Elephas maximus indicus: one gene and its partners. Each later gene encodes a partner of the first gene's protein in a complex. Links are inferred from orthologs where the notes say so. Each region holds a gene or a part of one and is shown in the gene's direction. Other genes may lie near its edges. The genes, in order: CWC22, SNRPE, SNW1 and SCNM1.

Region 1 (6,882 bases):
ATGATACTGCAACGGGGATATCACCCCATCTTCCTTGAGCAGGTTCCAGCTAGAGCCCAGTTCTATGCCAGCACCCCTAGCCAGCAGGAAGAAGCTACAGAAGATGAGACCTTCGGCCCTAAACACCTTTTAAGATAGAGAGGCAACTGAAGCCTCTGCCGAGATTTCCGCTGCTCCACCATGGTTCCCCCCGTCACAGCCCGCCAAGCCACGGCTTCTAACTGTGGTTTGGCCTGACCACACCAACCTAACCGCAGTTTGAATTTGGTGCCAGAATCCAGCGCATGCGTGAACCAGGATTTTGGCCCATGCACAGGACCTGAAGAGCAGCATCCTCAACCTGTCCTTGGACCTGAGCATCACCAACATGATTCACCATTTGGACCTCCAAATGTGGACATGGGAGGACTAAGGGTGGAAAGTTCCGGGCAGCAAACCCAACCCCCAGATGCCACTGGAAATACAAAGCTCCTCAACTGCCCCCCCACCCCAGATGGGGAGTGCATGGTCTTTCGACTGCTAGGTCCCATATTGCTCCTTGTTTGTGCAAACAATAAACTGCCACTTTCCGTTTCCCTTGCAACTAGTGGTGTGGTGTCTGTCTTATTTCAATTGGCTAATAGGACAGGACAAGAACCCATATCACATAAATTCTGAGGGCCCCAAGCACAATTCATCATAAGATGGAAGTCTCACATTTGGGATGAAGCACAAAGAACACCAGAGTGCACAAGAGACCTACATGAGCAGGTAGCACAGACCTCCATGTCACCCGTTACACTGACATCCCTCCCTCAGTTCATATTGATAGCCATATGAGAGGGAGTGGAGCTAAAACTATCAGAGGAAAGAAGAAAAAAAGGCCAAGCTAAGTTTATGGATGGATTGGCTCACCACATGGTTGAAAGCTGAAAATAGACAGCAACCACATCACAGCCTCATTCAGGACAGCCTTGAAGACAGTGGAGAGGGACAATCTTCTGAGCAATACTGCAGTAGAAAATCAAAAACCAAACCCATTACAAAACCAAAGGCCAAACTCATTGCCACTGAGTCAATTCCAACTCACAGCGACCCTACAGGACAGAGTAAAACTGTCCCCACGGGCTTTCCAAGGAGCAGCTGGTAGATCTGAACTGCTGTCCTTTTGGTTAGCAGCCGTACGTCTTAACCACTGTGCCACCACTATGGTATAAGGACCTAGTCATTTAATCCCTTAGTAGTCCCTCCGTTTCAGAAACTTTGGCAGCATAGATGTTAAGAGCTACCACTGCTAACCAAACAGTTGGCAGTTCAAATCTACCAGGTGCTCACTGGAAACTCTATGGGGCAGTTCTATTCTGTCCTGTAGGGTCACTATGAGTAGGAATCAACTCAACAGCAATGAGTTCTTGGTAGTTCCCCTTTGGAGCTACCCCTGCCCAATCCTGCTTCTTCCCTTTTCTTTTAAAATTCCTAACTCTATCTCAGTATCTTCTTCTTGGAGGACCGAAATGACAAACCTACTTTTTTCTGGCTCCATTCAACTCTTGTAGGCTCAATCCTAACTTTCTTATTTCCACTGATAATTGCAGTGGTGTTCATTATATTTCTTTTAGATATGTTTACCAGATTCATCTCCTGTGCCACGTATTGGTACAAATGAAACATATTCCCTTAAAATACCTTAGAACACCAAAACACAACTTTAGCTATGGTCAACTCTCTTCATATGAATAATAATACCCGTTACTGTCAAGTCGATTCCAACTCACAGTGACCCTACAGGACAGAGCAGAAATGCCCCACAGGGTTTCCAAGGAGCACCTGGTGAATTCCAACTGCAGACCTTTTGGTTAGCAGCCATAGCTCTTAGCCACTAAGCCACCAGGGTTTCCATCGATAATAACAGATAGCAGTTATTACATACTAGGCACTTGACTACTAACCTAAAGGTTGGTGGTTCGAGCCCACGAAGCAGTTGCATGGAAGAAAGGCTTGGCAATCTGCTTCCATAAAAAGTTACAGTCATAATGATTACCCATTCCTGTTGAGTCAATTTCAATTCACAACACCCCTATAGGGCAGAAAACGGCCCCATCAGGTTTCCAAGGCTGTAAATCTTTATGGAAGCAGAAGACCAGAAAGCCCTATGGAGCAGTTCTACTCTGTAACACATGAGGTCTCCATGAGCCAGAATGGACTCCAGTGCAGCTTTTTTTTTCTCTTTTTTAAGGGGATGGGTATTGGTATTATTCCTACTTAACAGATCAGGACGCTGGGGCACAGAGTGTGAAGTAACTTGTCTAAGGTCACCCAGCTAGGAAGCCATAATTCAAATGTAAATAGTCTGGCTCCAGCTTCTTTATTATTAACCACTGTACTCTTCTTTCTCTTGAAAAGGGTTGGTAGCAGAAGCACCCTAAAAATGTAATAAATAAGTATCTGGAGAAACCAGGCCTGGTTTATATAAGGTTGGTGAATATGCTATAGTTGTTTTAAACCAAAACCCAAACCCATTGCCCTTGAGTGGATTCTGACTCATAGCAGCCCTATGGGACAGAGTAGAACTGCCCCCATAGGGTTTCGAAGGCTGTAAATCTTTACAGAAGGAGAGTGCCATATTTTTCTCCGTGAAACAGCGAGTGGGTACGAACAGCAGCCCAGTGCTTAACCACTGTGCCACCAGGGCTCCTCATAGTTGTTTTAGGGAAGGATATATCCCCAAACAGTTAGAAGTAGTTGAACTTTTTTGTTGCTATTGGAAAGTAAGGCATAATGAAATTAATTGATGCTGGATCCCTGAACTCTGTACAGACTACCATTCAAACTCTGCCAGATAATCTCCTTACCTCATGATATCTTGACCGTGAAAAACTGGTATTATGATCTTTAAGGTTGCATGTCAACTTGGCTGGGCCACGATTCTGTGGTTTGGCAGTTATGATGTAGTTTGGCAGTTGTATAATGATGTAATCACTTCCATGACAAGATCTGCTATGAGTAGCCAATCAACTGAAAGGGAGTTTCCTTGGGGTTGTGGCCTGCATCCAATATATTTGGACTTTTTGGCAAAGCTCCTTGGCTTCTGCTCTGCTCTGGATCCTGCATTCAGCTCGTCAGCATCTGACCTCCGGTCCCTGGGACTTGGGCCAGCAGCCTGACATCTGACCTGTGGATCTTGGGTTCATCAGCCCCTGCAGCTAAGTGAGTCAGGAGAAGCCTCCAGTTTGACACCTGACCCATGGACTTGGGACTTACCAGCCTCTACAACCCTGGGAGCCATTTCCTTGAAACCTGGATCTCTCTATCCTTCACTGGTTTTGCTTCTCTAGAGAACCCAGCCTAAGATAGAGACATCATTTTCTTTTCAGGATTAGCTTCTCTTCATTACTTCACACTATTTATGGTTCTGTATTTTCTCCTTCACTTAGGCTTGAAATCTTGGTACTTTACAGGCACTTTTTAACATTTGGTAAAGCTTAATACGCTCTCGTGAAACTACTGTAAAGAGTCTGAATAAGCTGTCTGCTCTTAAGATTTTCACGGAAAACTGACTTAAGTATTACAGTCATGCCAACTGCAGAAAATAGTTTTAGATGAAAGTAAACCTCGCTAAACCCTAACCCTTACCACGTTTCCGGTGCGTTGACTGGATGTACTCGGGGGCGCTTACCTACAATGACTACAATTCCCATCCTACACTGCGGCCTCCACAGCCTAAAACTACAATTACGCTAGCGTCGTTTCCGCTCGTACGGGCAGTGGGTGTTTGATTTAGTCGTTTGTATCAACTTCTTTTGTCGCCGTCTTAGGGGTAGCAAGTGGATGCACAGAGTTCTTTGAATCTAGTACTACGAAATAGTGTTAAAATAAATCAATACTTTTATAACATATCACAGCTAATTTTTAATGTATTTCACGCTCCGCCTTCATTGTGCCGCCAGAGCCCAGGAACGGGAAGTGACGTGTATCCGGTGTAATGGCGGCGCGGTGGAGCTGTAGGTAATTACCGCAAACTCCGTAGACTCCCTGTAGGCAGGGATCCGACGTAGGTGTGGCAGTTTTCCTGAACGGGTGGGAAGTGAAAGGGGCCCAGGAGTGGGTGCGCGCCCGTTGGCCCAGCCGTGGGCTGTAAACGGGTGCGCGTTGCTCCCTGCCCGCCGTGCGCTGGCCCGCGAGGTGGGGGTGTGAGCGCGGGTCGGGTCGAGGAGTCGGAGCGGGTTAGGAAGGGGCGGTGGTGTGCTCGCTCCCCGCCTGCATGGATGAACTTAGTTTCCGCCTGAGAGTTTTGGGCTGACTCCTATCTCTTTGTTAGTGAAATCCAGCAGTAGCGATGGTCTTTTTCTTCGCGTACAGTGCGGTTCGGGCGCGGGGTACTTAGAGCCTGAAGAGTTAAGTTGGGCTTCCCAGGCACCTTTCATAGTGTCCCCGTCCTAGAGTCATGGGGGTGGGATTAGGAAACTGTAGTTGATTGAAATAGTGGAAGTTGCACTCTTTCACTCATTTCCTTCTTAATATTCCTGTGACTACCTATTTTACTAGTTTCTTTTTTCTTCGTTTGCCTCGTAAATACTGATTGTTCTCAGTGTTTAGGCCGGGGGGGGCTCTTTCCTTATCATGTGTATTCTTTCACTGTCATCTTCATCTTTTGATCACTGGAACTACATCCAGTAGGGTGATCATAACTTCCAAATTTGAGTCTCAGGTGTCCACCTGCCTTCTGAGCTCCGGATCCAACAGTACATTCTTGCGTACAATGGTATTTTAGTAGTTTCATTAACTGCGGTAACTGCTTTATTTATTTTCACCTAACCCTCAAAGCAGTTCTTCAAGGTAAGTGGAAAAGGAAACATACTGAGAAAGGCTGTTCCAAAGGCAAGCATTGAAGTGATTGAAAGCGTGATAAGAATTTGCTTTGCATATTCGGGTGTCCACAGACTAGACATATGAGGTAGATACGCAAACAAGCTTGGTTTTCAGAAAACATGTTAACCTACCTTTTACTTTTCTGTGTTTAGATTTGTCTTGGTTTAGTATTGTCTCTGAGCTCAGGAATTAGCTTCAGTTAACAGAAAAGCAACTTTAGAATTGGTGTTTAATAGTGTGGGTTTTGACCATGGTAAAGTTACTGCACACTGTGTCTGTAGGAGGAGGTAACTCCCTTGCGTTGAGTTGATTAATGGACTAGTGAGCCAAAGGTTCCAGTCTTGGCCTGACATTTATTGGGTCTATCACCTGGGTGGGGTAAGTCACCTTATGTCTCTCATCTTAGCTTCTTTACCTGAAAAACTTAGATTATAATATCTACCTCACCGAGTTGTTTTGAAGATGAAGGAAAATAATGCACATTAGATATTAAGCACAGTGCCTGGTATATAGTGTTACCCATTGCTGTCGAGTGGATTCCGACTCATAGCAACCCTATAGCACAGGGTAGAACTGCCCCTTAGGGTTTCCAAGGCTGTAAATCTTTTCGGACTCATAGAGTCGGAATCGACTCGATGGCACTGGGTATTTTTTTAAATCTTTTCGGAAGGGCTCTTTCTCCCGAGGACTGGCTGGTGGATTTGAACCACCAAACTTTTGGTTAGCAGCTAAGCCTTTAACCACTATGCCACCAGGACTCTATTATATAGTGTTAGCCCTTATTATATTAAGGCTCTCTGGTGGCACAGTGGTCAAAATTATCTACTGTTAATGGGAGGATCAGTCTTTGGAAACCACCAGCCGGCTCCAGGGTAGAATGTGGCAGTCTGCTTTCATAGAGATTATAGCCTTGGAAACCCCATTGGGGTCACTGTGAGTCGGAATCGATCCGACGGCAGTGGAATTGGTTTTTATTATTTTATTATTGCTGTTGCTGCTACTACTACTGTTACATGTTGCCCTTCTACTATTAAGTGTACAGGCGCCTTTCGTAACTAATCTGGCTGGGGCTCTGGGACTTTGTGGAAGAAAGGCCTGGTGATCTACTCCCCCAAAATCTGGCATTGAAAACCCTGTAGAGCACAGTTCTACTGCGACACACACGGGGTCGCCACGAGTCGGAGTTGACTCAACAGCAACTGGTTACTGGTTTTACTGGGACTCTGCTTATACTTGCTTGCTTATCAGAGGCCGAGAGCCTTGATCTAATACCCTGGCTCAGTGGTTCTAAAAGTGGTCTCCTGAACCAGCAGCATCAGTACTTGTTAGCAATGCATATTTTGGGGCCCACCCCAGTCCTGTTGAATCAGAAACTGGAGGAATGGGAGCCTATCAGTCTGATTATTAATAAACCATCTATTTGATTCTCATGCCTGTTTGAGAACCACATCCCCTAGAGACCTGTTTTTTTTTTTTTTAATTGTGCTTTAGATGAAGATCTACAGAACAAATTAGTTTCTCATTAAACAACTAATACACATATTGTTCTGTGACACCAGTTGCCAACCCCGCAATGCGTCAACTCTGTCCCTTCTCGACCTTGAGTTTCCTGTTTACGTTCATCCAGCTTTCCTGTCCCCTCTTGCCTTCTCATCCTTGCTGCTGGCCTGGTGTGCCCATTTAACCCCTATACATGGTTGAGCTACGTGTATTTTTGTTTGTTTTATGGGCCTAAATCTTTGGCCAAAGGGTGACCCTTAGGAGTGACTTTAGTAGTGAGTTAAAAAGGTGGCTGAGGGCCATACTCTTGGGGCCTAGAGATCTATTTTTGTCTGTTGTTTGTGTTTTGTTTCATTTTCCAGAATCAGCTGCTACTCCCCTTCCTCACTTTGGATAGTTTAGCTCCAACCACTTCTGTAGTTAGACACTCCCTAGACTATAGGGTCCCTGTGAGTTGGAATCAACTCGACGACAAGGAGTTTGGTTTTTTTAGGCTACTTAGCTGTCTTTCCTAAACCAGCTTTCCTAACTGTC
Region 2 (6,849 bases), on another chromosome or scaffold:
TGTCCTTTGGAGTCTGTTTTCTGAAACTGACTTAATTCTTCAAAAGAGCACAATGCCCAAGGCAAAATGGCCTTATTAGCTTATTTAGAGGTTTTTTTTTTTAGACCATTGTTTGACTCAAATGTGACACTTAGGAACCAGTTTCTTCAAGGCTAAAGGTTCAAAAGGACACCTAACTGCAAATGGCCTGGGTCAGTCACCCCAACTCCACGGATCCAGAAATCTGTGTTTCAGGAGAATATAAATGGTTTCTCATCCTTAAGTAACAACACCCCACCACCCCCTCTCTCCAGCCCTTGGTAGCCACTAATATAAATTTACTTCTACGTATTTGCCTCTTCTAGTGTCTTAGGATGGGTTCTCTACAAAAGCAAAACCAGTAAAGCCTATATATATATATGTATGTATGTATGTATATATATATATACACACACACACACATATATAAAGAGATTATACCAAGGAGATGGCTCACATGGTAGTAGAGACTGGAGTGTCCCAATTCCGTGTGTCAGGATAGAGGCTTCTCCTGATTCATGTAGCTGCAGGGGCTGGCAAACCCAAGATAGGCAGGTCAGAGAACAGGGCTATTGCTCACAGGCTGCGAAGATCAATGAGTCGCAAGATTAGCAGGCAAGACCGCAGGTAAGCTACTAGCTCAAGTCCCGAGAGCCAGAAGTCAGACAAACAGGAGCTGCAGGATCCAGCACAAATGAAAAGCCCTCAAGTCTTACCAGAATGTCCGCTTATATTTAATGCAGGCCACACACCCAAGGAAACTCCCTTTCAACTGATTGGCTACTTACAGCAGCAGATCCCATCATGGGGGTGATCACATACCAAATCTCAACAGGAAAGTGATCACAACATAATACGACTGCCAAAAACACTGAGAATCATGGCCCAGCCAAGGTGACACTCAGTCTTAACCATCACATCTAGATAGTTCATAGAAGTGGAATCATACAATATTCTTTTGTGCCTGACATTTCACTCAGCACAATGCTTTCAAGGTTCATCCATGCTGTAGCATGTATCAGAACTTCATTTCTCTTTATGACTGAATAATTTCCACTGTATGTATCACATTTATTTATCCACTGATGGACTTTCAGGTTGTTTCCACCTTTTGGCTACTGTGAATGATGCTGCAGTGAACACTGGTGTGTAAGTATCAGTTTGAGTCCCTGCTTTCAGTTCTTTGAAATTGGAATTGCTGAGTTCATACCACTTTTTTTTAACTTTGCCATCTAATGGGGAAAAAATGATATTTCACTGTAGTTTAGTCTGCATTTCTCTTATAATAACTGAAGTTGGGTATCTGTTCATAAGTTTGAAGACCATTTTATTTTGTTAATGAACTGATTAAGAAATCATACTACCCTGCCAGAGAGACCATGTGGAGAGGCCCCAAGACTACATAGAGAGGGAAAGGGACCCAGCCAATGCCAGCCTTCCAAAGATACCCACCAAGGCCTTAGATATGTCTCCTGAAGAATTACCCAACTGAGCTCGGCCTAAATTCCTGACTCGCAAAATCATAAATTATAATAAAATGGTTGCTGTTTTAAGTCAATAAGTTTTGGAAAATTTTCATACACAGCACTAGAGAGCCAAAACAGCATTTAACATTTTAGATTTTATTTTCAGGAGCTCTTTATGTGTTAGCGAAATTAGCCATTTGTCTGATTTGTTGCAAATAACATATTTTCCCCAATTCTTCTGACTTTGCTTATCATCATGCCTTTTTAGTCTTGTAAAACTTTATAATTTTTATGTAGTTGATTTGTCTTTTAACAAATGGTTAGAGCATACAATTGAGGAAAAGACTCAATTTTTAAATAAGAGAGATGAAGAGTCTAGGATTAAATTTAAGAATTGGACAAGTTTTATATGAAGAAAACAAAAAACTTCTGTAGGATTCAAAGGAATACTTGGACAAATGAAAAGACATCGTGTACTTGAATTAAAAAAAATTTAGTTATTCTAAAGTTTAATGAAATCTCAAAAAAAAAAAAAAAATCCCCAAAGGGTTTTGAAAACTGATTCTGAAGAGTATATGAAAGTAACTAAACAAGAATAGCTTGGAAAATGCTACCTATTTCTAGTTCTATAGAAGAAAACATATTTATAAAGCTACAATACTTACAACTATGATATTGGTTCCATAGACACAAGGATCAATTGAACAAAGTAGAAGTCCCAGATACACACACACAAACACACACACTTGATATATTATAAATGTGGCATTTTAAAATAATAGGGGGAAAGATGAGGTTTTTTTTTTTTTGTAACGGTGATGGAAAACTGATAGCTGTTAGGAAAATATAAAGTTGTATCACCTCTAGGATATACAAGGATACTAGGATAAATTCAGGTGGAGCAGCAAAGACTTAAATGTAAAAAAGACAATTACAAAAAAAGAAAAAGGAAACAACACAACACTCTTAATGAGTTACATAATCCAGTTACATGAGTGGTTATAGGGATCAACACCCAAAAGTCCAGTAACAGGAAAATGCTAAAACAAGTAGCTAAGCATCTGTGCATTTGAGACAGGTATTACACTACTACTGAATAGGTAGGTGTTAATACTACTACTCTTGTGTTCTATCCATATAGGGTCCCTACAAGTAGGGATTGACTTGACGGCAATGGGTTTGGTTTTGGGGGGTTTTGTGTTCTATCCCGGCTGTCTTTGAATTCAGCAAATCTTTACCCAAATCTTTGTCCAATTAACTCCGTTCAGAGCATGGGGTAGGAATGAGGTTAAGAGAAATAACTGTCCCATGACCTTTCTAGCTCTTTATAGTTAAAAAATCACTTCTATGTCCCCTGATTCAACACTTTTGAAGAGGTAGAAATTGGTTTTATCCTCATTCAACAAAAGACCTCAGTTAGGTAAGTTCTGATTCTGCCACTTTCCGTTAATGTCCCTTAGGCAAGTCCCTTCAACTCTGAGCTTCAGTTTCCTCATTTAAAAAATGAGTGTTCCAATTGAATGAAATTTCTGCCAGGCCACAAGCCACCACGACATAACGGAAACACTGGATGAGCTTTGGGGTGTGGCATACTTGCGCATTTCAGCTCCCCCACTCACTAGGTCGTTACCAGCGAAACGGTGTGTCACATCTAACACTGACTCCAGCCTGAACGTGTGTGTGTGTGCGCACTGTATTACACCACTGAATTCTCACCACAAACCCGTAAGGAAGGTACTATTAATTTTATCTCCATTTTGCACATTTCGGTCACGTAACTATTAAGTGAGCTGGATTTGAGCCCAGCATCGGATTTCAGAGCCTTCACGCTAAATCACCACGTTGTTGCCACCTCACAAAACTCCCCCACGGAGCTGACGAGAGGAGTTGAATCCGTCACTAGGGCAAACCACAGACTGGGGCTGTTTGCTCGGGCTTCCTGCCGCTCTCCCCGCGCTCGCCCCACAACGCTGCCGTCGAGCCTAAATTCCAGGAAGCTAGGCCTCAGGAAAAGGACTAATTTAACCCATTTTACAGACAGAGACACGCAATAGGACGACTACGGCTCTAAAAGCGGAAATCAGAAAACGGAAACGACCTGGTGCCTGTGTTTCTACCGCTTTCCCCCGCTTCCACCGCACGACCGAAGTCCCTCGGGGCTTTCTCCCGTCTCCCTCCAGGTGGCGCTGTAGGATCGGATCAGGTTCCGATCCTACCGAGTGCAGCGCCCTCAGTTCGGCCTCCCCGGGATGCTACAGATCACAGAGAAAGCCACTCTGCGGCTAGAGAGGCACCACCCAGTAGCCGTCAGGTCGCTGCGCGGCCTCAATACATTTCCGTTTCCGGTTCCTAATTCCGGAAGTCGCTTTCTGCGTCGGCGTGCGGCTTAGTGTGGTCTTTGTGAGCTTCCACCATGGCTTACCGTGGCCAGGGCCAGAAAGTGCAGAAGGTGATGGTGCAGCCCATCGTATCCTGCTTGAGATGTCAGGACTAGGAGATTCGGGCTAGGAAACGGAGGACGAAGGAGCGGGCAGAGACCCGGCCTGAAGGCGAGGAGTGCGGGTTACATCCCATGAGCCTCCGGGGTGATCGAGACCGGGAGAAAGCGCGGGTAGTTGGACTGGTGCTGGGTGGGAGGTGAGGATAGGCCGACCCCGGGGGTGGGAGATGTAGGATGTCGAGGCTGAGCGGAGGGACGACATCGCTGGGTACTGAGTGAACGCAGAATTACCGGTTTGAGGGAGGTTGTCGGGGCGATGGAAACTCCTGACGGATAAGGGAGTGGGGGGGATTCCTTCCGGGTTTTTAGGAGACTTCGGTTGAGTGCCATTTGTTGGGCACTGTTACTTGTGTAGGCAGCAGACCTCACGTTCAGAAAACAAACCAAAAAAAAAAAAAAAAGTGCGATGGTTGAGATCGACCAGTTCCTTAACTACTGTGATGCAGAACCTTATCTTCAGATATTTGCAAAATGTACGTAAGTTACTTGTTTCATAATGATTTTTTAAGTAAAAGTTGGGTTTTCTAAGCTGTATGTGTCAGTCTACTGGGTCGCTGTGTTCTATGTTAAAAATAAATGAAATCAGAGGAGGGGCTGGAGGGATAATTGACAGGAAAGGGTACAGAGAAGCCTTAATATAAGAAAGTAGTTATTTACAGCTGTCAACTCCAAGCGTGCAAAGAATTGTGTCATTTCTTTCCAAAACCAAAATTATGAGTTTCAGGGTTTGTTCGTTGGCAGACGTGTTGATAGTATTTGGTGCTTTTGTTGTAGTGATTATGACCAGAATATGGGAACGTTCTGATCTCCTCCACTTAGGGTTGCCAGAAGGTCAAACATGGCTTAAAAGAAATACCCAGTTAACTTAAACCATGTCGTGAGATGTGTGCTTAATGCCTATGGGAAAACTTACATATAGAAAAGACGTTTAAAAATGTGGAGTGAAGAAGTAGATTCAGCCTGCTTTCCTTTGGGGGGATTTTTAGCAATACTTTCAGTTGACAGGTCAGATGTTAAAATTATCTCTGAAAGAAAATGTTTCTGTTGCTCTGACAAGTTTTAGTGTGTGATAAGTAACACAGTTGAAAAACAGAGTAATTTCAAGCCCCGTAAATTGTAAACACCGGAATTGGTGATCCTCCTCTGGTGGTTATGTGTGTGACACGGAGGGCTGAGAAGCTAGAAGAAGCCTTGCTTTGGAGCTGGATTTTGCTTTATCAGATACAACATATGCCCTTAATCTTGATCGTCGGAATTTACTGCTTTGTGCTATACTGTCACCAATTTTTAATCTCAGTGGATTGGGATTATAAGTAATGAGAAATATGATTGAGTCCTGAGATCACAGCCAATTTGTTAGCCCAGACAATCACAGTATAACATTTAATAAATGAAAAGGTTTCTTGGCAAGTAACCTATCTTGACTCTTAGGTATAGACTTGCTGGTTAAAATTCTTGACTTATATTTTTCGGATAGTTTTTTAGGAGCCATAGTTCATCTCTGTTGTTTAACCAAAGTGATTAGATTGTATTTACTTATTCTAACATTTCTTTTTTTATGATTATTTCAGAGATCCCGGATTCAGGTGTGGCTGTATGAGCAAGTGAATATGCGGATAGAGGGCTGTATCATAGTGAGTACCCAGGATATTTTATCTCAGAGCAGTTTGTTCCCAGAAAAAGACTTAACGGAAAGTGGCTAGGCAGAGCAATATATGGAAAATTGAAGATTCAACCCAAGGAAAGTTTTTCAGGGCCCCCTGGTTAGCCTTGTCATTGTTCTAGTTGTTAGGGGTTGGGTAATTCAAAAAAGAACAGGAAAATTAAGCTTTTAGGATTACTTAAACAACAATATTGGCATTGCGGAAGGGGACAAAAGAGATAAACCAGTTGCCATCGAGTTGATTCCAACTCATAGCAACCCTAAAGGACAGAGTAGATCTGCCCCATAGGTTTTCCAAGGCTGTAATCCTTACAGAAGTGGATTGTCATATCTTTCTTCTGCAGAGTGGCTGGTGGGTTTAAACTCCCAACCTTTTGGTTGGCAGCTGAGCGCTTAACTGGTGCCCCACCAGGGCTTCCTCAGAAAAAATAAAACATAAATTTAGAAGGGGAGATTAATGGAAGCATGGCTGAAAGTATTACGTCAGAGCACTCTGGTATTCCATTTAGACATGGCAATTCCGTTTAGACATCTTAGATTTCATCGGTAATCTCCCCTGCCCGATTTACCGGTCGGGAAACAAATGTGGTTAGTGGTAATAGCATATTGTGGGGACACAGGGGGAGAGCATTGGCAGAAGATAATCATAGACATACACACATACTCTATCAGGCAGGTTGTGAAAGAGAGCAAGAGTGGCTCCTTGGCATAGCTAATGAAATCCTAAGTCCAAGAGGTTTGAGTAGTAATTTAGAATACCTTCTGGCTTTCTTTGTTACTTAAAAAGAGACTTAGGGTGAAGGTGGTGCTTACATATGCCTTACTTTAGATGAAAGATCAGTAGAGGGACGAATTTCTGAAGTTCATTGGCATTCTGTATCTAGATAGATACACTCATTTTTGAATGGTTTGAATGTGATCTAACTCGATGATGGTCCTGTGGCTTATTTTCTAGGGTTTTGATGAGTATATGAACCTTGTGTTAGATGATGCAGAAGAGATTCATTCTAAAACAAAGTCAAGAAAACAACTGGGTAAGAATATAGATGGCCTTACAGAATCCTAGAAAGGTTTATTCAGTTGCAAAATTAGTGACCTGCAGCTCAGTTCATTCTTAAATTTAGTTTGCATTTGAGAAGTTATTGTTTGGGGGAGTAGTGTACTCTTTCGAAATCATCCTCTCCCACTTACCCCATTCCATT
Region 3 (7,257 bases), on another chromosome or scaffold:
TAGGATCTTCTCTTTACCATCTCTGGGGTGGCTCATTTCAAGCCAAGTGGGATGGCTAGCCTGACAAATTCCCTTTAAAAACAAAAAACCTTTGCTGTGGAGTCAATTCCTATTCATAGTGACCCTATACTACAGAGTAGAACTGCCCCAGGGGTTTCCAAGGCCAGCCTGGTAGATTCGAACTACCATCCTTTTTGGTTAGCAGCCATAGCTCTTAACCACTACGCCACCAGGGTTTCCACCAATCCCCTTCGTTTCCACCAATCCCACCCTACCACACAGTCTCACCCAATCACTTGGGTGGGAGTTACAAGACCATGGCTAGAAAGGCCACACAAAAGCAAGCTATGGCAGTGCACCCCCACTGACAGCCAACAAGGAAGCAAGGACCTCCAACCTACAACTGCAAGGAACTGAGTTATGCAATCAACAAGAAGGAGCTTGGAGATGGATCTTCTCTAGAACGTCGGACAAGAACTCAGTCTGGCCGACGTCTTGATTTCAGCCTTGTAATACCCTGATCAGAGAACCCAGTCACCATGTGCAAGCCGTCTAATCTACAGAACTGTGAGCTAATAAATGGATGTTGTTTTAAACCGCTAAGTTTGTGTTAATTTGTTACGTAGCATAGAAAACTAGTATGTCATTTGTCCCTCTACTCTTCTTAAAAATACTGATCTTCTGTAACCTTTCCTATGGCTCTAGGAACCCAAAGAGTGCCATGAAACAGTGCCAAAGAGAAAATGCTGCTGATGCTGAATGAGGCTAAGGAGACTTTTCTAACAGCAGGATAGTAAGAGCTAGACCAGGCATTGTTAAATTTTTATTTTTTTAATTATCATATAGTAAAACTCATTTTTTTTGGCATACAGTTCTATGAATTTCAACTCATGTATAGATTCATAGGAAGCCCTGGGTAGATGTCTTAGTTATCTAGTGCTGCTGTAACAGACATACCACAAATGGATGGCTTTAATAAAGAGAAATTTATTCTCTCACAGCCTAGGAGGCAAGAAGACCAGATTCAGGGCCCAGCTTCTGGAAAAGGCTTTCTCTGTATGTGGTCTCTGGGGGACGGTCCTTGTCATTAATTGTTCCCTGGCCTAGGAGTTTCTCAGCACAGGGACCCTGGGTCCAAAGGACATGCTCTGCCCTGGTGCCTTTTTCTTGGTGGCCTGGGGTCTCTCTTTCTCTCTGCTTGCTGCTCTCTCCTTTTATCTTTTCTAAGATAAAAGGTGATGTGGGCCACACCCCCAGGGAAACTCCCCTTACATCAGGGCTGTGACCTGAGTAAGGGTATTACATCCTACCCTAATCCTCTGTAACTTAACCTAATCTCACCTCATTAACCACAGGCAGAGATTAGAGTTTACAACACATAGGACAATTACATCAGATCACAAAACAGAAGACAACACCACAATATGGGGAATGACAGCCTAGACAATTTGACACATATTTTGAGGGGACACAGTTCAATCCATGACGACAGTTTGTGCTTGACTACTAACCTAAAGGTTGGTAGTTCAAATCCACTCAGTGGTACCATAGAAGAAAGGCGTGGTGATCTCCTTCCATAAAAATTACAGCCAAGAAAACCCTACGGAGCAGTTCTGCTCTGCTGTAATACATGGTATTGCCATGAGTCAGAATCAACTCAATGGCAATGGGTTTGGTTTTTTTGGTTTTACAGGTTCCGTAACCTCCACCACAATCAGGATACAGAACCGTTCTGTCAACTAAAAAAAAAAAAAAAAACTCCCTTGTAATAATCACGCCTACCGCCTACTCTTAATTCCTTGCAACCACGGATTTGTTCTCTGTCACTAGTTTTGTCATTTCAAAAATGACATAAATCTAAAAAATGTCTGCCTTGAGCCTTATGCTCTTTTAAGAACTATCTACAAGGGATCAAATTGACAACAGCAACTTGAAAGATTAGATGGGAATCTTAGGGGATAGTGAATTTATGTTAATAAGGGAGGGACAACTTGGAAATGGAGAGTGATAATGGTTGCACAACTCAATGTAATCGAAGTCACTAAATGGTACATGTAGAAACTTGAATTGGTGTATGTTTTGCTGTGTATATTCTCAACAACAAAATAAATAAAAATTTTAAATAAAAAAAAAATAAGTCCTAAAAATTCCTAATTCCTTCCCCCCCAACACAAAATGTCATAAATGGAATCGTACAATAAGAAACCTTTTGAGACTGGCTTTTTTCACTCAGTGAAAGTGATGCCTTTGAAATTCATCCGAGTTGTTGAATGTATCAATAGTTCATGGAATGGGAAAATTTTAAACCTCTTTAGAAGTTTTAAAAACTAAGGAAATAAAGTATCTAGAATCATATTGACACCAGAAGGATCTCTGGTATTATTTGAGCCCACCCTATCTTTTGCACTGGAATCGACTCAATGGCAACCGGTTTGGTGTTTTGGTTTGGTTTTTTGGTTTGGTTTATCCTTTTACAGCTGAGGAAACCAAAATCCAGTGAGGGGTGAAGGCTTGCCCAAGACTGCTCAGGCTCAATGATAGAGATACAATGGTGACAAAGAGAGATTTAATCTTCCTCTCAGTCAGGTAAACCATCAAAATCTATAGAATGTGATCTTTGTTAAAAATAGGTGAAACACAAGTACTATCAGAGCACAGAGAAAACACATTAGTAAATTCCCTTCAATTGCAAATGACAGAGAACCAACTCCAGATCTGGGGCAGAAAATGTACAAGATGCTCTTATCACACTAGAACGTGAAGATCAAAGACTATGAGGATTCTTGGGAGGAAGGGTGAGTGTAAAGGATGAGGGAAGCTTCTTGGGCTGTTCACACTGCTGTGGTTTGGGAAAATCTAAAGGCCTGTACACATACAATGTATGCACTTTTCTGTATGCGTGCAGAAAATTTCAAACGTATATAAAAGTAGAGAGAATAATATCACAAACATCCACTTTCCCATCACTCAGCTTCAACAATGATCAAAATTCATGGCTAATCTTGTTTCATCTATGCTCCACACTCTTTCCTCCTCCCAATATTTTGAAGCAGATTTCGTTTATACTATTATTTCACTATGAATCCATAAACTATGTGTACCTAAAAAACATACCTACATATATACTACGTATATCAGGAGTTTTCAAAAGGTAATTTACTGAAGATCACAAAATGCCTTTCCCAGGAGAGGGTTTTGTGAAGGGGATAGCATTTAAAGGAAAAAGTTTTGAACGTCAATGTTTTCAGAACGTCCGAGAACTCTCCATTCGCTAATCTCTGACTATCCTATTGTTTCAAACCCTGTTACCTTTTATTTAACGTGGTTATCACCTGAAGGTTTTTGTATTTGGGACAGTAGGGGAGGACCCTGGTGGTGTAGTGGTTAAGTGCTATGGCTGCTAACTATAAAGGTTGGCAGTTTGAATCCACCAGGCGCTCCTTGGAAACTTTAAGGGGCAGTTCTACTCTGTCGTATAGCATCGCTATGAGTCTGAATAGACTGCATGGCAACGGGCTTTTCTTTTTCTTTTTAATCTAGGGGAACAGGAGTCCTGGCGGAGCGGTGGTTAAGCGCTGGGCTACTAACCAAAAAGTCAGAGGTTGGAAGCCACCAGCTGCTCCTCTGCAGAAAGATGTGGCTATCTGCTTCTGTATAGATTCCCAAACCACACCCATTGCCTTTCAGTCCATTCCGACTGACAGCGGCCCTATAGGACAGAGTAGAACTGCTCCATAGGGTTTCCAAAGCTCTAATCTTTACAGAAGCCAACTGCCACATCTTTCTCCCTCTGAGCGGCTGGCGGGTTCGAACTGCCGAACTTTCGGTTAGCAGCCAAGCGCCCATCTTCCAATTAGCAGCCGAGAGCTTAACCACTGCGCCACCAGGGCTCCTTCCCAGCCTAGGAAACCCCATGGGGCAGATCTGCTCTGTCCTATAGGTCGCTGCGAGTCAGAGTCAATTCCATGGCAACGTGTTACACGACGGTGATGGGACTGAGTGGGGGAAAAAGTGGCTAAAAAGGTAGCTTTCTCTAACTTTGTTACTTCGCTTAGCGAACGCCCTATGATATCATAGAGTACAGATAAGTCTTTACTCTTCCTAATGAGATCATCTAAGGAGGACCGCTTAGGCTGGTTAGAAGAGACCCGAAATAGAGACCCGAACTGTACTCCCTATCAAATAACTACTAAGCCCAGAAGGCCTTTCGGCAGGTGCGGCTGCGCACTGCGCGCTCCTTCCTTCCCCGCCCCTTCGCCAGGGAAGGTCCGCCCCGCGCTGCTGTCGCTCGGGCTGGAAGAAGCGGAAGAAGATGGCGCTCACCAGGTGGGTTGTTGATTCGAGCCCTCGATACGGAAGGGTCTGAGACGACCCATCTTTTTCATTTCTCTGTCCACGCTCTCCGGGCGGGGACCCGGCTTTGGGAAGAGAGCGACTTAGACCAAGGCCGTGGCTAGGCCCTCCCGCCAGCCGCCGCGGCGACTAGGCCTCGCCTGAGGGTGGGTTTTCCCGAGCGTCTGCTCGGGTTGGGGTCGCCCCCTCCCCGAGGCCGGAGCCGTGGAGTGGCCAATAGTTCTCCGGCCCAGATGCGAGGAGTCGCACGTGTGTTTCGCTTCAGCATCGCGGGGGACGTGGAGACCGCTACCTCAAGTCGGCGGCTTGGGTAGAAGAGAGGGGAGTGTGGGCAGTTGCTTGCTTGTCTCGGCGGAGCGAAGCCGGCGGGAAGCGACTACGCGGACTTCTGTCCGCTTGCTGCCGAGGGCTTTCTGTCCATTCCGTTTCCCGAAACAAGGTCTCCTAAGAAAGAGGCCTGGAAGTGGATAAAGATTTTGAACTAGCCTCAGCAGTGGCCGCTGTTTACTAATATGCGCCGCTGCGCCCGGCTTTAACTTTGGACCTTAGAATTTCTTCCCTAGATAGAACCGCTTCCGATTTTTTGCTGTTCGCGGTTGCCTTGGTAACCATATGTAAAGGGTCCCCGCCTTTGAGAAAAAGATGCTCTAAGTGGGAGATCCCAAGAAGTTACATAACCCTTACTAGTGCGCGACCATGCTGCCCCATTTAAGTAGAAAAACTTTGCCATGCGAATTCAACAGGAAAGTCGAGTGTCAAAGAGGATTGTAATTTTGGACCTTAGAATTTCTTAGAATTTTTGGTCCTTAGAAGTAATCCTTTTAGGATATCGACTTGAGCTCTCTTAACACACCTTATTCTCCTCAGATATTTTTCCTGGCAGATGACAATTATGAATCCGAAACATGTTTTATTCAGAAGATTCTTTTGGGAACTGCTATAGGGTCGCTATGAGTCGGAATCGACTTGAGCGCAGTGGGTTTGGTTTGGTTGGTTTTGTTTTTTTTTGTTGTTGTTTTTTAAATGGGGTGCCCTGACTCATCCTAGGAGTTGTGGTGTATGCAGAAGGAAATCTGACTGTCTGACTTCAGAGACAATGGGGAGCAATGCATACAAATATGAACGATTGAAGAGCAACACAAACCATAAGAGTGAAAAGAGTTAGATGGAATGAGCTTTATGGACTGGAGAGTTTTCTTTAGTAAATGTTACAGGCAGTTAAGTGCCTTCTAGGTGCAAGGCACTGTGATAGAGGCTAGTAGAGCTATGAGGGAAAGATTTGTTTGGGGAAAAGGTGGAATTGGAAATGGATGCACAGGAAAAATACCAGAGATGTCATGGGTATTGTGTGCTTGTTGACACAATGTAATGTTTAAATGGCTGGTCTTGGGGACTACATGGCTTTCTGATTTTGTTGAATTGTTGTTGCCTGCTATTGAGTCTATTCCAACTTATAGTGACCCCATGTGACATAGAACTGTCCAGTAGGATTTCCCAGGCTGTAGTCTTTATGGGAGCAGATCACCAGGTTTTTTCTCCTAGGGAGCCACTGGTGGGTTCAAACCGCCCACTTTTTGTTTAGCAGCCCAGTGCTTAACCACTGCGCCACTAGGGCTCCTTTTTGTTGAATTAGTCCTAGCTAACTTGATTTTTACAGATAGTCTCAAGTTTATAGGTGAGGTGTTAATTTATATTAACTCCAAGATCTACCAGGGAATGTTAACAGCAAGGTCTTGACATACTGATGTGTCAGTCTTGATGTCACCAGTGATATGTTACTAATACTAAAGGTTTAAAGTCTAACTGATTTAATTTTCTATATTTGAGTGTATTCGAAGTTATGGGTATATTAACATTACTTGCATTTAATATACTTTCTTTAGTAAAGGGAAAAGGGTAAACTTGGATTTCTCAATAGTGGCACTATTGGCATTTGGGTCTGAATAATTCATTGTTGTTTGGGACCCCTGTGCATGGTGGGATGTCTAGCAGCATCCTTGGCCCCTATGTACCAGATATCAGTGGCACCCCCTCTCACTAAATCTTGACAATCAAAAATGTCTCTAGACATTGCCAGATACCCCAGGGGGGCAAAATTGCCACTAGTTGAGATCTGGTAGACTTACTGCTGTACATATAATTAGCAGTCTATTTTATCTATGCTATCTGAAGGTTCTTTAGAGCCGTGGTGGTGCAGTGGTTAAGCATTTGACTGCTAAAAGGTCAGCAGTTAAATCCACAAGCGGCTCTTTGGAAACCAGATGGAGGAGTTCTGCTCTGTCCCGTGGGGTTACTGTGAGTCGGAATTGACTCCTAGGCAGTGGGTTTGGGTTTTTTGTTTTGTTTTGTTTTTTCATCTGAAGACCAGCCTCTCATCTCCCCATGGGAGTGTTCGACTTTATGCAAAGGCCTTCCTTTTCAGGGAAGAACAAAGTGAAGACCCTCTGGAAGGCTAGAGTATATTCTGACCATAATTCAGGCTCTGTTACCTGTTTACTGGATTGCCAAAGCCCTTTGCTTCTCTGGCAGGCTGCCTGCCTTTTGATCATTTCTGTGAATGCTTCTTCCAAGAGAAGGTAAAGAAAAGTGAAAAGAAATGAAACAGAAGTACATAATTTTGGTGTCTTTGTAGCTCTTTATCATTGTATATTACTTACATATGGTTTACTGAAAATGACTTTGGAAGAAGCCTAAGACTTTTGACTCCATTTGTTTATTTATTCATTCATATACTTAGTAAATATTTCTTGAAGTTCTACCATGTGCTAGGCACCATTCTAATGTTGGTTTTATAGTATTGAATCAAGTAAACTCATTCTTACAGGCCTTACATTCTAGTAAGGGACTCAGACTGTATATGAGTAAACAAATCAATAGTGCAATTTAAGTAAAATAAAGACAGAT
Region 4 (7,243 bases), on another chromosome or scaffold:
TTTCTTTGAATGTTCCATGCTCTTTCACACTTCTGTGTCTTTATCCATGCTATTCCTTCTGCCTGAAATGCCTCCCCACTAGCTCTTTCTGGGCTTGGAAAGCTTGCACTCATCTACATCCCTCCCTTTGTGTTACCTTATCAGGGCTCCCAAAAACCCACTGCCTTCGAGTTGATTCCAACTCACAGCGATCCTATAGGACAGAGTAGAACTGCCCCATAGGGCTTCCAAGGCTGTAACCTTTACGGAAGCAGACTGCCACATCTTTCCCCCACCGGGCTGCCAAAGCATCTGTAGATATTGCCCAAATAACACCTACTCTATTACACTGTTATTCTCTTCTTTGCATGTTTGTCTTTCCTACTACCCTGTGAGTCCTTTAAGGAAAGAGACGGCAACTTGCTGTCTTGTATCCCCAAGGCACTATTCAGCAACCCACAATGTTTCATGTTAATGGGGGTCATTAATGCATTATGAATAAATAATAAAATACAGGAACCATAAACATAGGGCGTCAGTATTTTACTATACGAGAGCCAGGTTGCCAGTTTTACTAAAAATTCATCCTGTATTGGCATCAGCTTGGAAAGCCACATTGGTCAAATATCAAAGATGTTTCTACTCTGTGGCAAGACCTAGGTCCCTAGGTCTCAACTTGACTACTAAATTCTTAGACTGTTATAATATGTTTAAAAATGAAATCAGATTAATCTGAACAATAAAAAAAGTTAACATTGGCTTGTTACTTTTATACTTTTGCTTTGCCAAGTGCTTCTATGCTATTGATTTTATTTTGCTGGGATAATATCCTAGGTCCCTTCCAGCTTCAAGATGTTATGAGTTAATATATGAAGTTTCTGTTTCTTTTATTATTCCTGGAAGCACCATATGAGGAGACATAATCCTACTTTTAAAAGCAATGTGACCAAGGTCAAAGGACCATGGAGCCACAGTCTTTACAGCTAGAAAGGCCCTTCGAATCTAGATAGTATAATAGAACTAAAAAAACCAAACCCATTGCTGTCGAGTCGATTCCAACTCATAGTGACCCTATACGACAGAGTAGAACTCCCCCATAGTGCTTCCAAGGCTGTAATCTGTACGGAAACAGACTGCCTGATCTTTCTCTTAAAGGGGAGTGGCTGAACCATCGACCTTTTGGTTAGCAGCTGAGCTGTTAACCACTGTGCCACCAGTTAGCAATTAAAAGTGAAGGTTTTAGAATGAGAAAACCTGGTCTGAATCCTAGCTCTATCAATTTTACTAGTTGTATAATCTATGTAAAGTTATCTCCCTAGGTCTCAATTTCTTCATCTTTAAATGAGAATAGGTACACCTACCTCATTGAGTCTTATGACGATAATATGAGGTAACACATATACAAAGCTTTCCACATAGCAAGTGTTCCTTAAATGATAAGTAGATAATAACTCTGATAATTATCATTATTTAATACATTTTCCTCATTTTACAAATGGTGAGGAAACTGAGGTTCCAGAGAGGGGAAGTGACTTAAAGTTACTCAGTAAGCAGCAGCATGGGATTAGAACCTAGGACTCTTCTTCACTAGACGACAGAGCTTGTCTGTACAGAGCAAAAAAAAAAAAAAAAAAAGCCTCAGAAAGTACTTGTTGATTCACTGGTAGCCCAGTTTCCTTGTTTGCAAAGCTTCTGAGACCCTGCTGAGCCCCAGGGGCTGCCCTGTACTTTCACACCCACTTCTTTTGCTTAGGCCATTCCCTGTACTTGAAATGTACTCTTTCCTATACTTCCAGTCTCTACGTGTGGAAATCTTAGCCATACTCATTCATTCGAAAAACATCTATTAAGTTGCTATGTGGTGGGGACTATACCAGACTTTAAGAATATAATTATTGACAGGAAATAGTTTCTATCCTTAAAGAAAGGATGTTGTTGTTGTGTGCCATCAAGCTGATTCCAACTCATCGAGACCCTATAGGACAGAGTGGAACTGCCCCATATGGTTTCCTAGGCTGTAATCTTTATGGGAGCCGATCGCCAGGTCTTTTTTCCCCGGGGAGCCACAGGTATGTTCTAACCGAAGACATTTGGTTAGCAGCTCAGCACTTAACCATTGCGTCACCACGGTTCCTTTAAGGAGAGTATAGGCTGTTGAGAAGACAAAAACCTATGCAAATAACAGTATTCCACAAATCGTAGAGAGAAGCACAGAAGAAGTTTCTAAGTCTTCCAAGGACCACAGTGACGGCTGCCTCAGAACCTGCACTGATGTTCACCTCTGTCCCTTCCAAGTAAAAATTAATCTCCATTTCTAACTTCCCATCCTTTGTTAATATCACTACAAATTCAACACATTCTGCCACCTACTATCATTATTTTTGTCCCAGGAAATTTCTCACCAGACTGTAAATTACATGAAGGCAGCAGCCACACATTTTATTTGTTTCTATGTCCAAGATGGTTACCATACTGCTTTAAACAGAGCAAGCATGCAAATGTTGGCTAAATTCAACATTTGTTTGTGTGAAATTGAATGAACAGGATATGGAAAAACACTCGCCAACTTTAACGCAATATATTGTTACACCTATCAAATACACCCTACACATACTTGCTGTAAAGAGAACCTGTTCCTTACCAAGAAAAGCCACCTTACTGGCAAGAAGGCAAAGCACTGAGAAAGGAAAGGACAAGAAGAGATAGGCACACCAGGAACTTAGAACTAAAAACCAGCTCTCCATTATTTGCTGTAAATGTTTTATCATTATCAATTATAAAGTTTCCATGTAGTTAATAGTAGTACAGTCTTTAGAGTCTGACAGATGTTTGAATTCCAACTCAGACACTCATTAGCTATTTCATTTTGGTAAAACTGGTTAACAGATTAATCCATGTTTCTGTTTCTTTATCTGCAAGAAGGGAACAATAATTGTATACTTGAGAGGGGATGTGAGGATCAAATGGGATGATACATGTAAAGCAGCTAGTATATTATCTGGCATAGAGTAGGCTTCAATAAAGTAGTAGCTGCTCCTCTCCTTTAAGGTAGTGGGGCAGGATTTGCCCCAACCAGAGAGAGCAACACTGACAAGGGAAAACAAACAAACAGATTAAAGCCAGAACAGACACAGCCCCAATTAGGAAAAATCCTGGAAAAGTTACTTAGAGGGGTCACTGCATTCAGGACATTCTCTCCTAACTGGTTGTCAGCACCCTAGTCTTGGAAGACTCACCGTCACCCCGTATTTGAGTGCTAGTCCAGCCAGAGTGTCTCCAGGTTCCAGTTTATGCTCCAGGCGTCTTTCCCTCACTGGGGAGCAGACGGACTGCACCAGGCTTCCATAAGAACGAGCCCGGCTCCCTTGAAGCAGTCCTGATCCCCCGAGGGGGGGCTGTCTAGAGGGAGAAGCCATCTCCTCACCCTGCTGACAGCTCCGGTTGCGACTGAGGGAGGACCGGCTAAGTGATGGACAGTGACGGGCCGGCGTCTGGGAATGGATATCCAGGGAGATCCTTCCCCTTCTCTCCTAAATCTTCCCTTCCCCCCGCCCCGACCTCAGCTCCTCTTCACTCCCCGAACCTCCACCCGCCCCCGTCACTCCTCCCCTCCCTCCCCTAGGGACCTAGGATATTCTAGACAGATATTATCTGCCCTCGCTTTTTCTCCCTCCAAGTCCCTTTTCCACAAATCTGGTCCCCTGGGTATTCAGTCTCTACCAAAGTCTCCCTTTGGAACCCCACAACTCCTCGCTACACTGACCTTTGACCTTGGAACTCTAGGTACCTTCCTCAACACCCTTTCCTCAGTTTGCTCCACAGCCGGGCAGCCCGGGCTCCCGACCCCCCTTCGCCCCAGCTCCGCCCCGTCCCGGGGTTGATCCCCTAGGGTCTGGAACGAGCCGGGCCCACCCTAGGTGAGCTGACGTCGCAGATGAAGAGCGGGTGGTTGGAGAGTTTGTAGTCCACTATCCACTCATCGATCCTTAAGGACCTACTCCGCATCAGATCGGTCTTAAATTCGGGTTCAAGCATCAGCTCCACATATAGGTTCTTGTCTCTTCAAATGCTTCGAATCTGCCGAGATTCAAGGGCCTGCTTCCAGCCGGGCGACAAGTTCTTTGAGAAAAGACTTCATTTCCCAAGAGGCTTCGCGCCGGCGGGGTCGCAGGGCACCATAGGAAAAGCAGTCCCCTTTGCGCAAGAACAGTGTTTTCAGAATCGCGCAATGCATGCGGGGAAGCACACCCCGGAAGTAACGAGGCCAACCGGAAAAGACAGGCAGAGGGCGAGGAGACACCCCTCTACCGCTACGGTGGCCTGAAGGGAGTGAAAAATTTGGTACCGCGAATTTGTTGCTTCTGAGGCTGACAGTCGCGATGTCTTTCAAGAGAGAAGGAGACGATTGGAGTCAACTCAATGTACTCAAAGTAAGCGCGAAAGTAGAGGGTCTGGAGCAGCTTCAGCCACCCTCTGAAAACTCTGAAAGAGCTTTGTTTCGTTGCTCTGGAAACAGCTCGGAGGGATGAGGGGCGAGAGGGAGTCAGGCTCCTAGACCTCTTCTTCGCCCTATGATCGCTTGTTTCCAATGGACCTTATTCCCTTTGATGCCTCGTCTCTATCATTTTTCCCTTCCATCTCTGCCTCCTGTCCCGCTTATTCCGTTCGGATTTGTTCCCTTACTCCCTCCAGAAACGAAGAGTCGGGGACTTGCTGGCCAGTTATATCCCAGAGGATGAGGCGCTGATGCTACGGGATGGACGGTGAGGGCGAGGAAGGATTCAAGCCTGAGAGTTCTGCGGTTGGAGGCTCAATAAGCTTTTGTTATTATGGGGGAGTTCTGGAGTATCTAAAATTCTTTGGCAGAGAGTGAGAGACTGGAAGAGACAGGGATGTGGGCGGTGGAGGTTAGAACTGGGAGTAGGGCTTTGGAAAGGACTACTAGGACAGGATGGAACCTACAGCAGACCTCCCACTCCTACCCCTGTACCAACTGTCTTCTTTACCCCTCCTCAGCTTTGCTTGTGCCATCTGCCCTCACCGGCCTGTATTGGACACCCTGGCCATGCTGACTGCCCATCGTGCAGGGAAGAAACATCTGTCCAGTAAGTTTAAAAGAGTGCATGGGATAGAGTGTAAACCCTTGAAACCTCTGCAGACCAGTCTTAGCGCTTTGCTTTTAATTCCCTCCCCCCTACTCCTCAGGCTTGCAGCGTTTTTATGGCAAGAAGCAGCCAGGAAAGGGAATGGAGCAGAATCCAAGACAGCAGAATGAACTGAGGGAGGAGAACAAAGCTGAGGTAATCAGAGCGGGAAAGGTGTGTCCCAGACAAGACCCTGCTGCACACCCCAGGCTTGAAGGGCTTTGGCTTCTCTCTAGCTCTCATGGCTCTGATTCTTTTCCCCTATCCCCATACCAGGCTCCTCTGCTGGCCCAGACTCGATTTATCACTCAGAGTGCTCTACACAGAGCTCCCCACTATAACAGTTGCTGCCGCCGGAAGTACAGGTCTGTGGGATGGGAAAGCCAGAGAAAAATATGACTTGAGCATGGGAAATAGGGAAAGGATAGCATTACTGTATTAGCTCTTAAATTTGTCCCTGATCCATCTTGAGTTAATTTTTGTACACAGTATGAGGTGGCGGGGGGTGTCCAACTTCATTCTTTTACATGAGGATTACCCAGTTGTCCCAGCACCATTTGTTTAGAAGGCTATTCTTTCCTCACGGCACGTTGCTGTATTAGGAGGAATTAAGAATAGGGGAATAACAGTGAAAGGTCTTTCACATTGGTTAGGGACATAAAAAGATGGAGACAGTGGGTGGAAAAGAACTACTAGTATGGGAATCAGTAGGGAGGGACAGTGGGAGATAGATGGCTCTAAAATTATTGTCTTCCCAATCGTATCCTGAGGAATACTATGTTCTGAAGATGCTAATTGGTATTCCAGGAAAAAAAAATTTTTTCGTGATTTCAAATAAAGTTTGGGATATGGCGCTTTGTAATTCTACTTTAAGCATAGTGATATTAGCATATTTAAGGGCTCTACAAAGTCTTGAAATTAAAAAAAAAACCTTTAAAAATTTTGTTTAACCTAGGCTTTCCCAAATTCATTTGACTTCAAAATCCTTTTTATGCACAATTCTCATTAATAGCTTGAGGAACATGGTTTAGAAAACGCTGCATTAAGGGGTTGGGAGTCACAGGAGAGCTGGCCCTTTCCTTTACCACTTTTACAGACTTCAATCCTTCTCCACCCAGACCAGAAGCCCCTGGTCCCTCCGTCGTCCATTCCCGTTTGCCACCTGCAGAGGCTGAACTCCAAAGTCGGAAGATCAGCAGGGAATCTGAGCCTGAAACAGGTCCACAGGCCAAGAAATCAGCAACTGTCCCAGCCCCTGTACCCATGAGCCCCACGAGAAGACAAGCCCTGGATCGTTACCTCACTCTTCGAAGGTAAGTATGCCGAATCACTTCCCTCGCATTTGCTCTTTTCTCTCTGGCCTTTTTTTCAAACCTACTGAGTTTTTTTCTCATCCCTACTAACTTCTTAATAAACCTCCTATCCTCATTCTGACCAGTTCTGTTTACTCTGATGTTTCCAGCTCTGGATGGATCCCAGATGGACAGGGTCGATGGGTGAAAGATGAAAATGTTGAGTTTGACTCTGATGAGGAGGAACCCCCTGATCTCCCCTTGGACTGATACCCTCTTTCCCCATTCAGTTCACAAATAAACTACAACAGGTGCTGGGAGCCTAACTTTCCTCAAGTCTGGTTCATTGTCCCATCTCAGGATATGAAATCTGTTCGTTCTCAGGTTAGACACTCCTTCCTTACAAGGTACACAGCACCCCATAATTCTAACCCCTCCCCACCTTCTACCAACGTCATGCCAAGCGTCAGCTGCATGCAGCTCAGTGCCCTATTAATAAGTCTGTCAGAAGCAGGTCTTTGCCCTTCATGTTGTCTACTTCCTTCCCCACCTCCACTGAAAGTCCTTTCCCCCTTCAGATGGCATGAAGGCTCTGGGTAGGCCCTTGGGGGGGACCCAGCCACATCTCGAAACAGAGCTGAGGCTAGGTACCCTATGAAAGTAGAATAGACCAAAGGCACTGGCAGAGTTATAGGGAACACCAAGGGAGGGAGCTCCCCCACCTTCCCCTGGTAACCTGAACCTCCCTGCCTGCTGATCCCCAGAGTATAAATAATCCCCTGGTGAACTGGCAGTAACCCTTGGGGCCTATTGCCAAGATTCCTACCC

What was found.
Region 2: CWC22 (region 1) and SNRPE share a complex: the UniProt entries of both Homo sapiens proteins name them as parts of the minor spliceosome. The link is inferred for Elephas maximus indicus from reciprocal best matches to the Homo sapiens genes CWC22 and SNRPE.
Region 3: CWC22 (region 1) and SNW1 share a complex: the UniProt entries of both Homo sapiens proteins name them as parts of the minor spliceosome. The link is inferred for Elephas maximus indicus from reciprocal best matches to the Homo sapiens genes CWC22 and SNW1.
Region 4: CWC22 (region 1) and SCNM1 share a complex: the UniProt entries of both Homo sapiens proteins name them as parts of the minor spliceosome. The link is inferred for Elephas maximus indicus from reciprocal best matches to the Homo sapiens genes CWC22 and SCNM1.

Annotation. Positions count from the first base shown.
Region 1 is NC_064824.1:78,258,939-78,265,820, reverse strand, and holds the start of CWC22 (pre-mRNA-splicing factor CWC22 homolog), read left to right. Parts: upstream 1-3,878; 5' UTR 3,879-3,984; intron 3,985-6,882. UniProt on the Homo sapiens protein: Required for pre-mRNA splicing as component of the spliceosome. As a component of the minor spliceosome, involved in the splicing of U12-type introns in pre-mRNAs. Promotes exon-junction complex (EJC) assembly.
Region 2 is NC_064836.1:13,038,975-13,045,823, forward strand, and holds the start of SNRPE (small nuclear ribonucleoprotein E), read left to right. Parts: upstream 1-3,834; 5' UTR 3,835-3,897; coding exon 3,898-3,951; intron 3,952-4,430; coding exon 4,431-4,457; intron 4,458-5,555; coding exon 5,556-5,618; intron 5,619-6,602; coding exon 6,603-6,681; intron 6,682-6,849. UniProt on the Homo sapiens protein: Plays a role in pre-mRNA splicing as a core component of the spliceosomal U1, U2, U4 and U5 small nuclear ribonucleoproteins (snRNPs), the building blocks of the spliceosome.
Region 3 is NC_064828.1:90,536,251-90,543,507, reverse strand, and holds the start of SNW1 (SNW domain-containing protein 1), read left to right. Parts: upstream 1-4,252; 5' UTR 4,253-4,312; coding exon 4,313-4,326; intron 4,327-7,257. UniProt on the Homo sapiens protein: Involved in pre-mRNA splicing as component of the spliceosome. As a component of the minor spliceosome, involved in the splicing of U12-type introns in pre-mRNAs.
Region 4 is NC_064821.1:185,194,718-185,201,960, forward strand, and holds the start of SCNM1 (sodium channel modifier 1), read left to right. Parts: upstream 1-4,221; 5' UTR 4,222-4,358; coding exon 4,359-4,409; intron 4,410-4,671; coding exon 4,672-4,742; intron 4,743-4,995; coding exon 4,996-5,084; intron 5,085-5,184; coding exon 5,185-5,279; intron 5,280-5,399; coding exon 5,400-5,488; intron 5,489-6,241; coding exon 6,242-6,436; intron 6,437-6,585; coding exon 6,586-6,685; 3' UTR 6,686-7,243. Other genes in the region: LYSMD1 (lysM and putative peptidoglycan-binding domain-containing protein 1), read right to left, coding at 3,216-3,395. UniProt on the Homo sapiens protein: As a component of the minor spliceosome, involved in the splicing of U12-type introns in pre-mRNAs. Plays a role in the regulation of primary cilia length and Hedgehog signaling.